Cricetulus griseus: one gene and its partners. The protein of the gene in region 1 interacts with the protein of each later gene in a biochemical or structural test. Links are inferred from orthologs where the notes say so. Each region holds a gene or a part of one and is shown on either strand. Other genes may lie near its edges.

Region 1 (3,512 bases):
CTGTTCCTTCCCCCTCAGGGCCAGCCTTCTGAGGTTGCTGGACCCAGGCAGGAAACCTAACTCGGCTTGCCTTTCTGACCAGGTAGATATGTTCTCCTATGGAATGGTTCTGTATGAGTTGCTGTCAGGACAGCGTCCTGCGCTGGGACACCACCAACTTCAGATTGCCAAGAAGCTGTCCAAGGGCATCCGCCCAGTTCTGGGGCAACCAGAGGAAGTGCAGTTCCATCGACTCCAGGCGCTCATGATGGAGTGCTGGGACACAAAGCCGGAGAAGGTACATGGAACAGAGTGGAGCCTGAGCCCTTCTTCCCCAGTGGTAGGGGCTGTGGGTCTCCAAAGCACACCTGTGCTGCTCACCCACCCTCCCTAAGGACAGCTGGGCAATCTTCTCTGTTTGTCTCTCCTAGAGGGAGCTTTAGTTTCCCTAATGTATCTCCCAGTCTTGGTGTGTATACATACATGTGTGCCTACATGTCTGTCTGTCCTTCTGAGGAAATGTTACCCTTTTATTCCCAGCTTGTGTACTTGGGACCAGAAGTATTTCAAGTCTTAGAGTTTTCCAGATTTTTAGAATATTATTTATGTGCTAGTTGAACATCCCCAATCCAAAAATCCAAACTCTAAAATACTCCTGAATCTGGAACTTTTTGAGTATCACTCAATTTGTATATTAAACCCATTGTGGCAATATAGTCCCCACGAAAGAACAGGGGGAAGGCATGCTTTGGAAGTTTTGCTTGTGAGAAGCAGGGACCCTGTTACATTATCAAAGATAGCTCCTTGTTCGTCAGAAGAGGCCCCTACGATCAAGCTTAGTACATTTGTCCATCAGATCAGATAGTTCATGTAATGCATTACAAATACAATATGAGACAAAAGTTCATGTCCCTGGGATTAAGGTGTGACACAACGGGCCTTTGTCTCCAGACCAACTGATCTTATTACTGTGGCCATGATGACCTAGAGACTATGAATGGCCTTTATTTTTTGGAGGGGGAGGGTGTTCTGAAGCCTTTTCAGTCTTGTGTTAGGCTAACCCTAGTGGAAAGATTCTCATATGCCCATGGCTGGTGCCAGTGGCCCTATGTAGCGAAACTGCACAGCAGTGCTCACTAGGGACCTCTCTCCTGCAGCGCCCACTAGCCCTGTCTGTCGTGAGCCAGATGAAGGACCCAACCTTCGCCACCTTCATGTACATGCTGCCCTGTGGAAAGCAGTCAGCCTTCTTTTCATCCCAGGGCCAGGAGTACACTGTGGTGTTCTGGGATGGGAAGGAGGAGTCCAGGTAATGTCTCCGGTCTATCCTTCCCTGCTTATGTCTTGGGTGGCACTGGGAACAGAAGAGCAATGATGCTGATGGCACACATGATTTAGCAGACAGCGGAGTCCAAAGCCTGGTTAGAGCACACCTCTTCTAAGGCCACTGCACCAGCCTGGGGAAGGAGGTGGCCGCTGGCTATCTGGAACTGACCACAAGTTGTTGCCAACCACAGGAATTACACAGTGGTCAACACAGAGAAGGGCCTTCTGGAAGTACAGAGGATGGCCTGTGCTGGGATGAAGCTGAGCTGCCAGCTCAAGGTCCAGAGCTCAGTGTGGATAGCCAGCGAGGTAACTGCCAGCCCGCAGGGCCCCTGGCAGGGTGGGCTTTGGAGGGGTCCAGTTCCCAGGGGGACCAGGTTTGTAAAAACTACAAGGTTTCCAGGTCAACTTGATTATCGGGTAACCCCAGCTTGTCCCTGAGAATCCCTAGAGCAATGCCATCAGTACTGTGAGGTAGGTCACCAGGAGAGCTGCTAGACTGCTACTGAGTGGTGCTTGCCACCAGCCGGGAGCTAGGATTCAGGGTGGTGAGGGCAGGTGGATAATCTCAGCAGGAGAAACTTGATGGGGGATGTCCTTCTATATGCTGTGAATCTATGCTTCTCTTATTGGCTGATGAATAAAGCTGTTTTTGGCCAATGGACAGGCAGGACATAGCCAGGCAGGAAGTATAGGTGGGGCTACCAGATTAGGAGAATTCTAGGAAGAGGAATGCAAGGAGTGGGTGGAGAGGGTGATGCCATGTAACCACTGGGAAAGTAGGGTGCCTGGACATTCTCCGGTATGCCAAGACCATGTGGAGTTACATAGATTAACAGAAATGGGTTAGTAGTTAAGAAAGAGCTAGCCAATAAGAAGCCTTAGCCTACTGCCAAATAGTTTATAATTTTTTTTTTTAAAAAAGGAGAATGCTGTGAGATCAGAGAGAAGGAGCAAGCCACAGCCACACCTTACCCCCTTAGCCTCTCAGCAGACAAGAGAGCAAGTTCCTGTTTCTGCCGGCCGATATCCTCTCTCTACCCAGCCATCTCACTTCCTGTCTGTCTATACAAACCTCTGTGATTAGCTGGTGGCAAGCTCCATTCTCTGACCTTCAGATAGGCTTTATTTGTACAAGCAAGATATCACCACAGAAACTGGGTGTATTGGTGGTGCCACAGAGCACAGATCATCCCTGAAAACCTTTTGGCTCCATATCCAGAAGTCATTGGAAGACCTGAGTAGCTGTCTTGTGAGAAATCCAAAGACTGCCCCAAACTACATGCTCTGGGATTATGATCATCCAAGTCCATCTACATTACATAACTGTTTGGAAATATGGCTATGTGTGAGATTCTCCAAAAGTACCCATGCTACTGAGACCTCAAGAATAAAGAATTTGTTCTCAGAGAATACACAAAGAGAGATCTCTAAGAATAGCCTACCTCAATGTAATTCTTAGTAGCGACAACAAATTCACTAAAAGTAATGGGCAGGGGAGTTGACCCCCTTATCGACTGTAAAAGGAGTGAAAGGGCTCTGCCTATGGCACAGTGTCACTGTCCAGTGACCCCACTCTATTAGTAGAATGCTCATGTACACCCACAACAATTTTCTGAGATGCTCTGTCCCCCCATCCTAAGGACTACCAGTTCATTTTCTTCCAGACTATTCTGTATTTCTCAAAGTTTCTACAAAAAGCAGAAATTACTGGGCAGTGGTGGTGCACACCTTTCATCCCAGAACTCAGGAGGCAGAGGCAGGGGGATCTCTGTGAGTCTGAGGTCAGCCTGGTCTGCAGAGAGAGTTCCAGGCAGCCAGGGGTACACAAAGAAACCCTGTTTCAAATGAACAAACAAATGAACAAACAAACAGAAATGAATAACCAAACAAAATGCTGCCTTTTTAAGGTACAAAGGGGTTCCCCAGGCAGAAAGCATCCTAATAGGGCATGCCAGTCACTTCCCTCTCTGGCTCTTATAGCAGGCTTGTCTCCTTTTGCAGGACCAGAAAATCTATATCTACAGTCTTAAAGGCATGTGCCCATTGAGCATGCCCCAGAAGGCCCTGGACACCCCGGCTGTTGTCACTTGCTTCTTAGCAGTGCCTGTTATTAAAAAGGTAAGGTGGGAGAGAAGGATGCTCAGGACCTGTGTGGGAGGCCCTACTTTCTGGGGACAGTGATTTGAGCTGGGGACAGTGGAGAC
Region 2 (4,043 bases), on another chromosome or scaffold:
CATACATCACTGCAGTATTCCCTAATATCAGGCAGAGACCTGACACTTCAATCACGTCTATGAATGCTTTTCCACCTGTGTAGTGGGAACAGTATTTTATTCATACCTTGATGGGTGAAAAGATTGGGGTAAAGCATTTTATATAAAAGTTCAGATTGTAAGTGCTATGAGAAATAGGTCCAGGTGCCCAGCAGGTGGTGGCACACGCCTTTAATTCCAGCACTCTTTTGGAAGGCAGAGGCAGGTGGATCTCTGAGGTTGAGGCTAGCCTGGTCTACAGAGTGAATTCCAGGACAGCCAGGGCAATACAGAAAAAACATGTCTCGAAAACCCAAAAAGTAAGAAATAGGTTCAGGAACAGTGAAGACTGGGGGTGGGGGGCGGGGCAGAGGATGAACTTTCACAGGTGTGGGGTAGTTTCACAGGCTTTTGAGATCGGATAACCTGGACAATTTTCGCCTAACTTCGAATTTTACGGGAATGTATGTCTCACTGTGGACTATCATGGTAAGGATTCATACTAGTGCAAACGTGCACGAATGCACGATCACGCCTGGCATACTCTGAACAATGTTTCTTCGACTTCTTCCTATCACAAAGAATCGTCGATGCTTGCTTGCTTCCTCAGTTCTTCTTCACAGATTCCCATATTTATGCCTTTCCCGAGTGATGAGGATGTAACGAACCGGTCACGTTGGTATCTAGGAGCGAACCAAAAGTTTCTCCCCTAACGAGGCTCAAAGAAGTAATCCAACTCCGGTTCTGGAAAACTCCAATCCATAGTTTTCCCCTGGCTCTGAATCTCCCGCGGTCTTGCTACTCAAGCAGTGAAGACGTTGGCTGACCGGAGTCCACCGGCTCCCAGGAGGCGGGACCAGCTCTCTAGCTATAGGAGCTGGAGGCTGGGGCCTCAGCGAGCAGCCCATGGGCGCCAGGACCACAAGTCCCAACATGCACTGCGGCAGCACCAAACACAATTAGCTGGCCCCTCTCGTCCTCACTGGCCAATTGGACGGCGGTGAGGGGACAGACTCCAGTCGTAGGAAGACCAGTGATAATGCAGAGGAGGCGGGCGCTTCCTCATCGCTCACCTTGAGCTCAGAAAACCTATCTTTAAGAGGTCGTGCGGAGCCGGCCTGTCGCGGGCAGTGAGGCGAGACCCCGAAAGTGCTGCGGCACGTAGGACAGCGGCGGCGGCGGCCAGGCCGACCTCGCGCAGGGTGTTCTGGCGTCGTTGGGGGCGGGGTCGGGGGGCGGGGCCTGGCCTCGTTGTGGTGCGGCTCGTAATCCATCATGGCGGCCTCGGGGGTCGGTGTCTATCCCTGAGAGGCGCTGGAGCCGGAGCCGGTTGCAGCGTCCTGCGTTTGAGGAGCCCTTCCGCGGCACACCCCCCTCTGGCTGAAGAAGCCCGGTCCCTCGGCAGAGCCGGGGATGTGACTGCTTGGCGGCGGCGGCGGCAGAGTCCGGGGCCGGGGGAGGGGTGTCTCGGGTAGACCCCTGGCTCGGCGCAGCTGAGGCGCCGGGCCTCCTCCCGTGGCCGCCTCCCGTTTCGGGACCGCGGGAGACCTTCGTCCCTCACAGCTCTGCTCTGGCTCTGGGACACCCAGGGTGGTCTCAGTTTCAACCTACCTGGGACACTCAGTTTCCTGAGGCGAGGAGGAACGTCGCCCCCGAGTAAGCCGCCCGCGCCCCACCTGGGGAAGTCTCTGTCTCACCCCGAGGCCGCCCTTCGCTCGATTCCCACCCCAAGTTTGACCACGGAGCCCCTCATTCAAATCTCTCTGCTGTCAAGAGATCTCCACGGTCCTCCCAGATTGCTTCCGCCGGCCTCCGATGTCCTGACTTCTTCCAATGTCACCTACAGCCCCATTGGTCTCAGTGCAGCCCAAAACTTTAATGCAAAGAAAAAGTCTGGATTGGTTTCACAGGCCTTTTAAAAAGCGGACTTAAAAAAGTTGCTGGCCATGCATTCCTTTTCGACAGTGTGGAGAGCAAGCTCTGGTTGAGATCTGTGTGACCCGAGTCATTTTCCGGAGAACAGGATAGGGAAGAGAGCGGCAGGAAATTTGTTGGAGAGAGAGACAGATAGGGGATTGGTGACTTCCACAGGAAAAGTTGCAGAGAAGCGTCAAAGACGTTCAACGTCTCCAGCATGCTGGGGAGTTGAAATGACTTTTAGTACTGTTGACCCTTTTCAGACTCCCCAATGAATATTTCTATCTAAAATTCGCCCCTTGCAAAGAAACGTTCCTCAATCCGCAAAATAGACGGAGTCAAGAAGCTTTTGGGTAGCGTTGCGATGACATGACTTCAAATTAATTAACTTGGAAAAGAATTCCAGACTCCTGTTTACATGTGTGAACCTCAAATCCAGTTTCCCTTTCTCATGGAAGTTGACTTTCTGTGACTGACCCCAGTTACTGCCGTGGAGTCAGTGTTGTGAAGTTCTGGGTACATTCTGTTTCCTACTGAGGGGACCATTCTGGAAGATCTTAAACCCTCTTCTGGAAAGGGGTGCTTATCATTGCTTTATGGGGCAGCAGCCTGGAAAAGTTCTTGGGGACCAAAGAAGGCCTAGTTTGCCTGCCCTTCATTTTATCAAAGGGGCAGGGAAGAGGGACTCATCGCGGCATGGGGGTCCACACTGCAACGTGTTCGTGGAACATGGTGAGTGCTTTCCAGGTTTCTGATCATTGTTTTTCCTTAAACATCAAAGGACTTTATGAAACAATGCTTGTGTCGGTTCCTGCTGTATCTGCTTAGCGTTTTTGCTACTGTAGTTACTAGTTTCTTTTTCTGGTGGAGCAGTTCTTTGCATAAGAAAATTATGACTATTCAGTCTGCTTGAGTTGCTGTTTCTAGCCACATCCCACTTCAGGTTCATTGTTGACATGGGACAAGTCCTTTTACTGTTTGGGGGCCTGCATTCGTGAGGGAGGGGAGGGGACTTAGGTGCTTTTGAAGTATTCATAGTTCTTCCCATCTGCTCTCGCTAAAAGTTGGGAGTCTACTGTTATGCATGGTTTTTTTTGTTTTTGTTTTTTGGTTTTTTTGTTTGTTTGTTTGTTTTTTTTTGGGGGGGGGGTTGGTGGTTTTTCAAGACAGGGTTTCCCATTGTAACAGCCCTGGCCATCCTGGAACACACTTTGTAGACCAGGCTGGCCTTGAACTCACAGAGATCTGCCTGCCTCTGCTTCTGAGTGCTGGGGCTAAAGGTGTGTGCCACCACCACCTGGTAAGCATGGATTTTTTTTTTTTACTGCCCGTCTATGGAGCACTTGTATCGTATCCTCAAAGTGATTTGTGTATTGAAAGGTTCTAATAGAACCTAATTGATGCTATCTTTTGATTTTCTCAATTATAAGCAGGACTTGAAAATTCTCACTTTGGAGCAAGGTAGGGAAAGTTGAGTGTGGAAACAGTGTGCCCCTGAACTGAGGACTGTTCTGTTACTTTAAGGAATAACCCTGTCCTCATTGATGGAGCTTTCTTCACCCTCATCTCTTCCTGCTTAGTTGGCTTTGACATTTTTATGAACCTAATTTGTTCATAAGGCTGACAGTACATGTCTTGTTGTTGGCTAATAGTTAAGGTCAGGTTAGACTAACGTGTTGCAGAGGCCATCCAGGAGCTAGTAAATTACCGTCCTGGTTGTACTGTGGCAGTGTCATTTTTCAAACTGTATACTTAATATCAAAATACCAATTGAACCATCATGCCATATAAGCAAGTGTAGCCTATGCAAATGCCTCGTATACTTTGAAATTCAGTCATAAATACGTTTTAACAATAGGTGACTACTATAAACAATGGCTGCTTTTGGGTGAACTTATATTTGATAATTGAAGTTTTCTTTTTTTAAGGTTTAGTTTGTTTTATGTGTGTCAGTATTTTGCCTGGGTGTGTGTATGTGCACCATGTTCGTGCCTGATACCTACAGAGGTCAGGAGAGGATGTTGGATCCCCTGGAACTGGAGTTACAGATGGTCATGAGCCACAGTGTAGATACTGGGAATTGAACCTGGGTCCTCTGTAAGAGCAGC
Region 3 (4,061 bases), on another chromosome or scaffold:
TTATTTATATTTCAAAAACATTTCATCTGGGCTCGTTTGGGTACTTATTTAAATTCACACACTCAAACAAACTTCATTACAGCAAAAAGAAAAAAAAATCTCACCTTCCCAAAGAATTGCACAAAGCTTTTTTCTCACGTGACTGATGTTCGAGAGAGCAGGTAATTTGTGTTAAACAAGTGATTGACATGCTAGCCCCCGGGTGTTTTCTTAAGAGGAACCGTGGCGAAAACACAGTTCTCCTTGCAGCCACTTTCCCCCCAAGTGGACCTGGCGACAGGGACAACATTCCTGCAGAGACTGACAAGGCCTGAGGGAGTAAGTTCTTGCTCTCATCACTCTCTCCCGATTCCGCGATGCAGGGGAAAATCCCCCTGGCTGGAGGGGTTTCTGTTTCCTTGCAATCAGGGGTTTGTCCTTCAGCTGAACTTTCACCTTCCGAACTCGCCTTCTTTCATTGGACAAAGTGCAGAAGGAAAGGGGAGAGACCGAGGGAGGACCCGAGAGCAGGCGTGGGGCTGGAACGCCGCCCCTGCCGCCCTCCGCTCCAACTGTCACCCAGGCGAAGCACTTTCACTTTTAACTGGAGGAAACTCCATCTCCGCCTGTCCTCTCCCCTCCTGGATTTTGGAGCTCAGATCTTAGCGGAACCTCCCTGGCATTCCCCTCTGCGTCCCTAGTTGCTGACACTCCTCCTCTCCATTTCCCTGGGTCTGCATGGGTCCCTCTCCTCTTCTCCTGAGGGGACCCCTTCACCCCCCAGGCCCCTCATTTTCCAGCTCTTTCAATCCAGTCTCCCTTTGCCTGGGAACTGTTGTGGCGTTCCCGTCCCGGGTTTCGGGGCTCTGCCTCCCTCTCCTCTTCCCCTCCCCACGTCCCTCACTTGGCAATTGCGATTCTTTTTTTTTTTTTTTTTTCTTCTGCGAGCCCTGTTGTTTACCCAGCAGGTGGATGTGACGTCAGAGACGCACAACAGCAAAAAATAACAACATCTCCCTCCGCGACGCGATGGCCTCTCGCGCGCGCCTTATTTATTTATTTGTTCCGGGATGCCGCGGGGAGGGGGCAGGCGACCCAAGGGCGGCGTAGAGAGGTGTAGGTCGCTCTCGGGGGGTCGCGGGGGCCTCGGGAGTGAGCATGGCGGGGTTTGGACCCGGCTGGGGGCTGGGGCGGGTTGGGGGCGCCTCGCGGCTGCAACGCTGGCGCGACTCGGGAACGAGTCCCAAGCGGAGGAATCTATTGTTATTTATTGTGTGGCAGCTGCACGCTGTGCTCGCGGCCCGGCCCTCGCCCGCGAGTGCGTGTGTGCGCGCGTGAGTGTGTGAGCGGGGGGCGCGCGCGCGGGCGGGAGTGGGCGCGCGCGGGGAAAGGCCCCGAAAACACCTTAGTTTGCACCGAGAGACCATTTGCCGCGGGTGAGTTCGTATTTTTCCATTTCTGCTCCACTTTTTTTTCCCCAAGCCGCCTCCTGCCTTGTTTCCGCCACTTTAAACAACAACAACAACCAGCACCAAAAAAAAAAAAAAAAAAAAAAAAAAAAAAGGAAAAAAAAAAAGAAAAAAAAGATACAGAAAAAATTTCCTACTTTTCATCTCCAGGCTCCACGTGCATCTCCCCCAACCCTCTGTTCTTGACTCGCTCCCGAATCGGGGCCCAGGATCTGCGTGGGTGGGGGCCGCGCGCGGGCGCCGGTTTGGAGGAAGCGCGGGAGGCGCCCGCACCCTTGGGTTCATTTGCATAAGTCACTGTGGGGTGCGGTGGTGACCGCACGGACAAGCTCGTCTCCCCCTTGGCCCCTCGCGCCCCTGCGCTCGCTCACACCGCTCGGGTACAGCGATCAATAAGCCCAGGCCGCCTGTCGCAACTTTGAGTGCCCAGCGTCAGCGTTTGGTGGCCGCCTGGTACGGGTACCCGGAACCCGGCCGCGGTTGGCGGGGGCGTGCGGCATCCTCTCCCGAGCTCAAAGTTTGAACTTGGAGCAAACTTTTCCCCTGCTATCCAAGGGTGCGTGCCCCTTCTGTACCCCGGGCTGCCCGGCGAATGCTGGAGGGCTGAGCAGGGACGCCTGCGCCCTGGGCCCGGTGCTTGGCGACATCCCTGTAGCCACGCGTGTTTTGGTCCGAACTCAGCCGTGTGGATGCTCTCTAGCTAACCCCTGGGAGCCCAGAAAACTCATACACACACCCGCGCACCCTCTGCCAGACACGCACCCCACGCGCGTTCGGCCCCCGCTTGTCAGAGACGGCGCCCGCGGCAGCCGTAGCCGAATCGCGGGTGGGCATGGGGACAGGGCACGTCTCGAGGACCCTCGGCGCCCGTACTTTGGATCCCCCGCCACCATACACTTTCGCTTCTGACTCCTGCGCCTCTTAAGCTCAGGGATCTGTCCTGCTACACGCGCGTGCCACCGCGTCCCTCCGGCCCTGTCCCGGCCACCGATGGCTCTCCGTTTCTCGCCTGTGCGCAGCTTTCCTCCCGTGCTCTCGGCACTCGGTTCTTGTCCCCCGGAGACGTCTCTCCGGAGCCGACGAGACGAGGCGGCGCGCGCTTCGGGTGGGGACCGAGGCGGTGGCGGCGGCGCCGGGAGCCGAGGAGTTTGCCAGCTGCCGCAGGGTCGTGGTCATCTGCTGCCTCCGCCTTCCCTCGCCCCCGCCTCCCGCGCTCCCCCCCCTCCCGCCGCTCTCGGAAACTTTGATTCCTTGTCCCCCTCCCCACCTGTTGTGAGCTCCGCCTCAGTCCCCGGAGACTGGCGGTGACACACACGGGCGCCAGGGAGCTCCGAGCCCAGAAACAAAGTCGCATGCCCCCCCCCCCTCCGTGTTTGCTTGGAAATTGCTGCCTGCAGCACCCCCATTCCCGCGCAGCTCCCGCCCCCTGGGAGCCTTAAGGACTAAATAAACAGTTGTAACTCCAAACCTTGCGCCTGCCATCGCAGCCCTATCCCACCCCTTTCCCCCGGTTCTGCCCCTCCTTTTTTGTTGTTGCAACTTTGTAAGATCCCGGGAAGGTGCTGAGACTAAGGCTCAGGCCGCGCTCCGGGTCTCCGGATCCCTGCAGGGATTCCCGGCCGCGCATCCTCCTCCCCTGTCCCCGAGCGCTTGGAGGTTGCCTCCTCTATCTCTGGTCTCGCCCCCTTCCGCCTAATCACCTCGTCCCCTTCGATCCCCCCCACCCCGAAACCTTCACGGAAGGAAGACTTGCTGAGGGTCGTCCCGGTCTCTTGTCGGTCACAGACCCCGAAAGTTTGCCCCAGGAGGACGGCGCGCGGCGGGCGAACGGGCGAGGGGCAGCGGCGGCGCGGAGAAGCGTGGAGCTGCCGGCGCCTCCTCCCCAGACTCGGTGGGTAAGTCGAGGCGGCCGTGGCAGGCGTGCGGGCGGGGGGAAGCGGGGAAGCCGAGGCGCTGTACCAACCAGCCTGGGCAACCAGATCGCTGTGACCAGCCACGGGGAGCAAGGAATGTGTCCATCAGGCTGGGACCTGCTTTCTCCCTTTTCTATCACTTTCTTCCCTGAATCCGATATCAAAGTTAGCGTGGAATGTGAAGTGTAAAATGGTGACATCCCTTGCTCTCAGCCCGCTCCCCCCTTATAACTATTAATTATTTCCAAGCCATTGTGTCCAATACTCTAGCTGGGCTGATTTCAGTGTATTGATTTAGGCTAGGCTCATCCTACGCTTTCATCTTAATTTATTTTCTTATTGCTTGACTAGAGGACCCAAAATGAAACTTATTCCTTCCTTTTTCTGTCCCCCCCCCCACCAGCCCCTTCATCTGGGTGGTTTAAGTAGAATAATGAAATTAATATGAACACTTCATTTGAGCTTCTTCAGCACACTGCTGAGGGCTCAGGATTGCTCTCACGGCAGGCTCCAGGTATTTTCCAGGATCAGATTTCTTATTCTGTCTCTCCTCTTTAAGCAAGAAGGCTGCGGGAACATTTTGGGAGCCCTATGCACTTCACCTTCCTTGGGCCATAGCCTGGAAGAACTTACAAAATAGCTAAGCTGAGAAAAACACCCAAGGATATCTAAGGAATTTTTTTCTGTTCCTGAAAATGTT

Evidence for each region. The genes of interacting proteins can lie anywhere in the genome.
Region 2: the proteins of Lrrk1 (region 1) and Abl1 form a complex in vitro, tested with the Homo sapiens proteins (2 studies listed by BioGRID and IntAct, with this or other methods). The link is inferred for Cricetulus griseus from reciprocal best matches to the Homo sapiens genes LRRK1 and ABL1.
Region 3: the proteins of Lrrk1 (region 1) and Foxp1 form a complex in vitro, tested with the Homo sapiens proteins (2 studies listed by BioGRID and IntAct, with this or other methods). The link is inferred for Cricetulus griseus from reciprocal best matches to the Homo sapiens genes LRRK1 and FOXP1.

What each region holds. Positions count from the first base shown.
Region 1 is NC_048596.1:131,004,887-131,008,398, forward strand, and holds part of Lrrk1 (leucine-rich repeat serine/threonine-protein kinase 1), read left to right. Parts: intron 1-82; coding exon 83-277; intron 278-1,136; coding exon 1,137-1,288; intron 1,289-1,496; coding exon 1,497-1,614; intron 1,615-3,309; coding exon 3,310-3,426; intron 3,427-3,512.
Region 2 is NC_048599.1:143,411,975-143,416,017, forward strand, and holds the start of Abl1 (tyrosine-protein kinase ABL1), read left to right. Parts: upstream 1-1,241; 5' UTR 1,242-2,531; coding exon 2,532-2,667; intron 2,668-4,043. UniProt on the Homo sapiens protein: Non-receptor tyrosine-protein kinase that plays a role in many key processes linked to cell growth and survival such as cytoskeleton remodeling in response to extracellular stimuli, cell motility and adhesion, receptor endocytosis, autophagy, DNA damage response and apoptosis.
Region 3 is NC_048601.1:44,450,568-44,454,628, forward strand, and holds the start of Foxp1 (forkhead box protein P1), read left to right. Parts: upstream 1-1,259; 5' UTR 1,260-1,415; intron 1,416-3,233; 5' UTR 3,234-3,343; intron 3,344-4,061. UniProt on the Homo sapiens protein: Transcriptional repressor. Can act with CTBP1 to synergistically repress transcription but CTPBP1 is not essential. Plays an important role in the specification and differentiation of lung epithelium.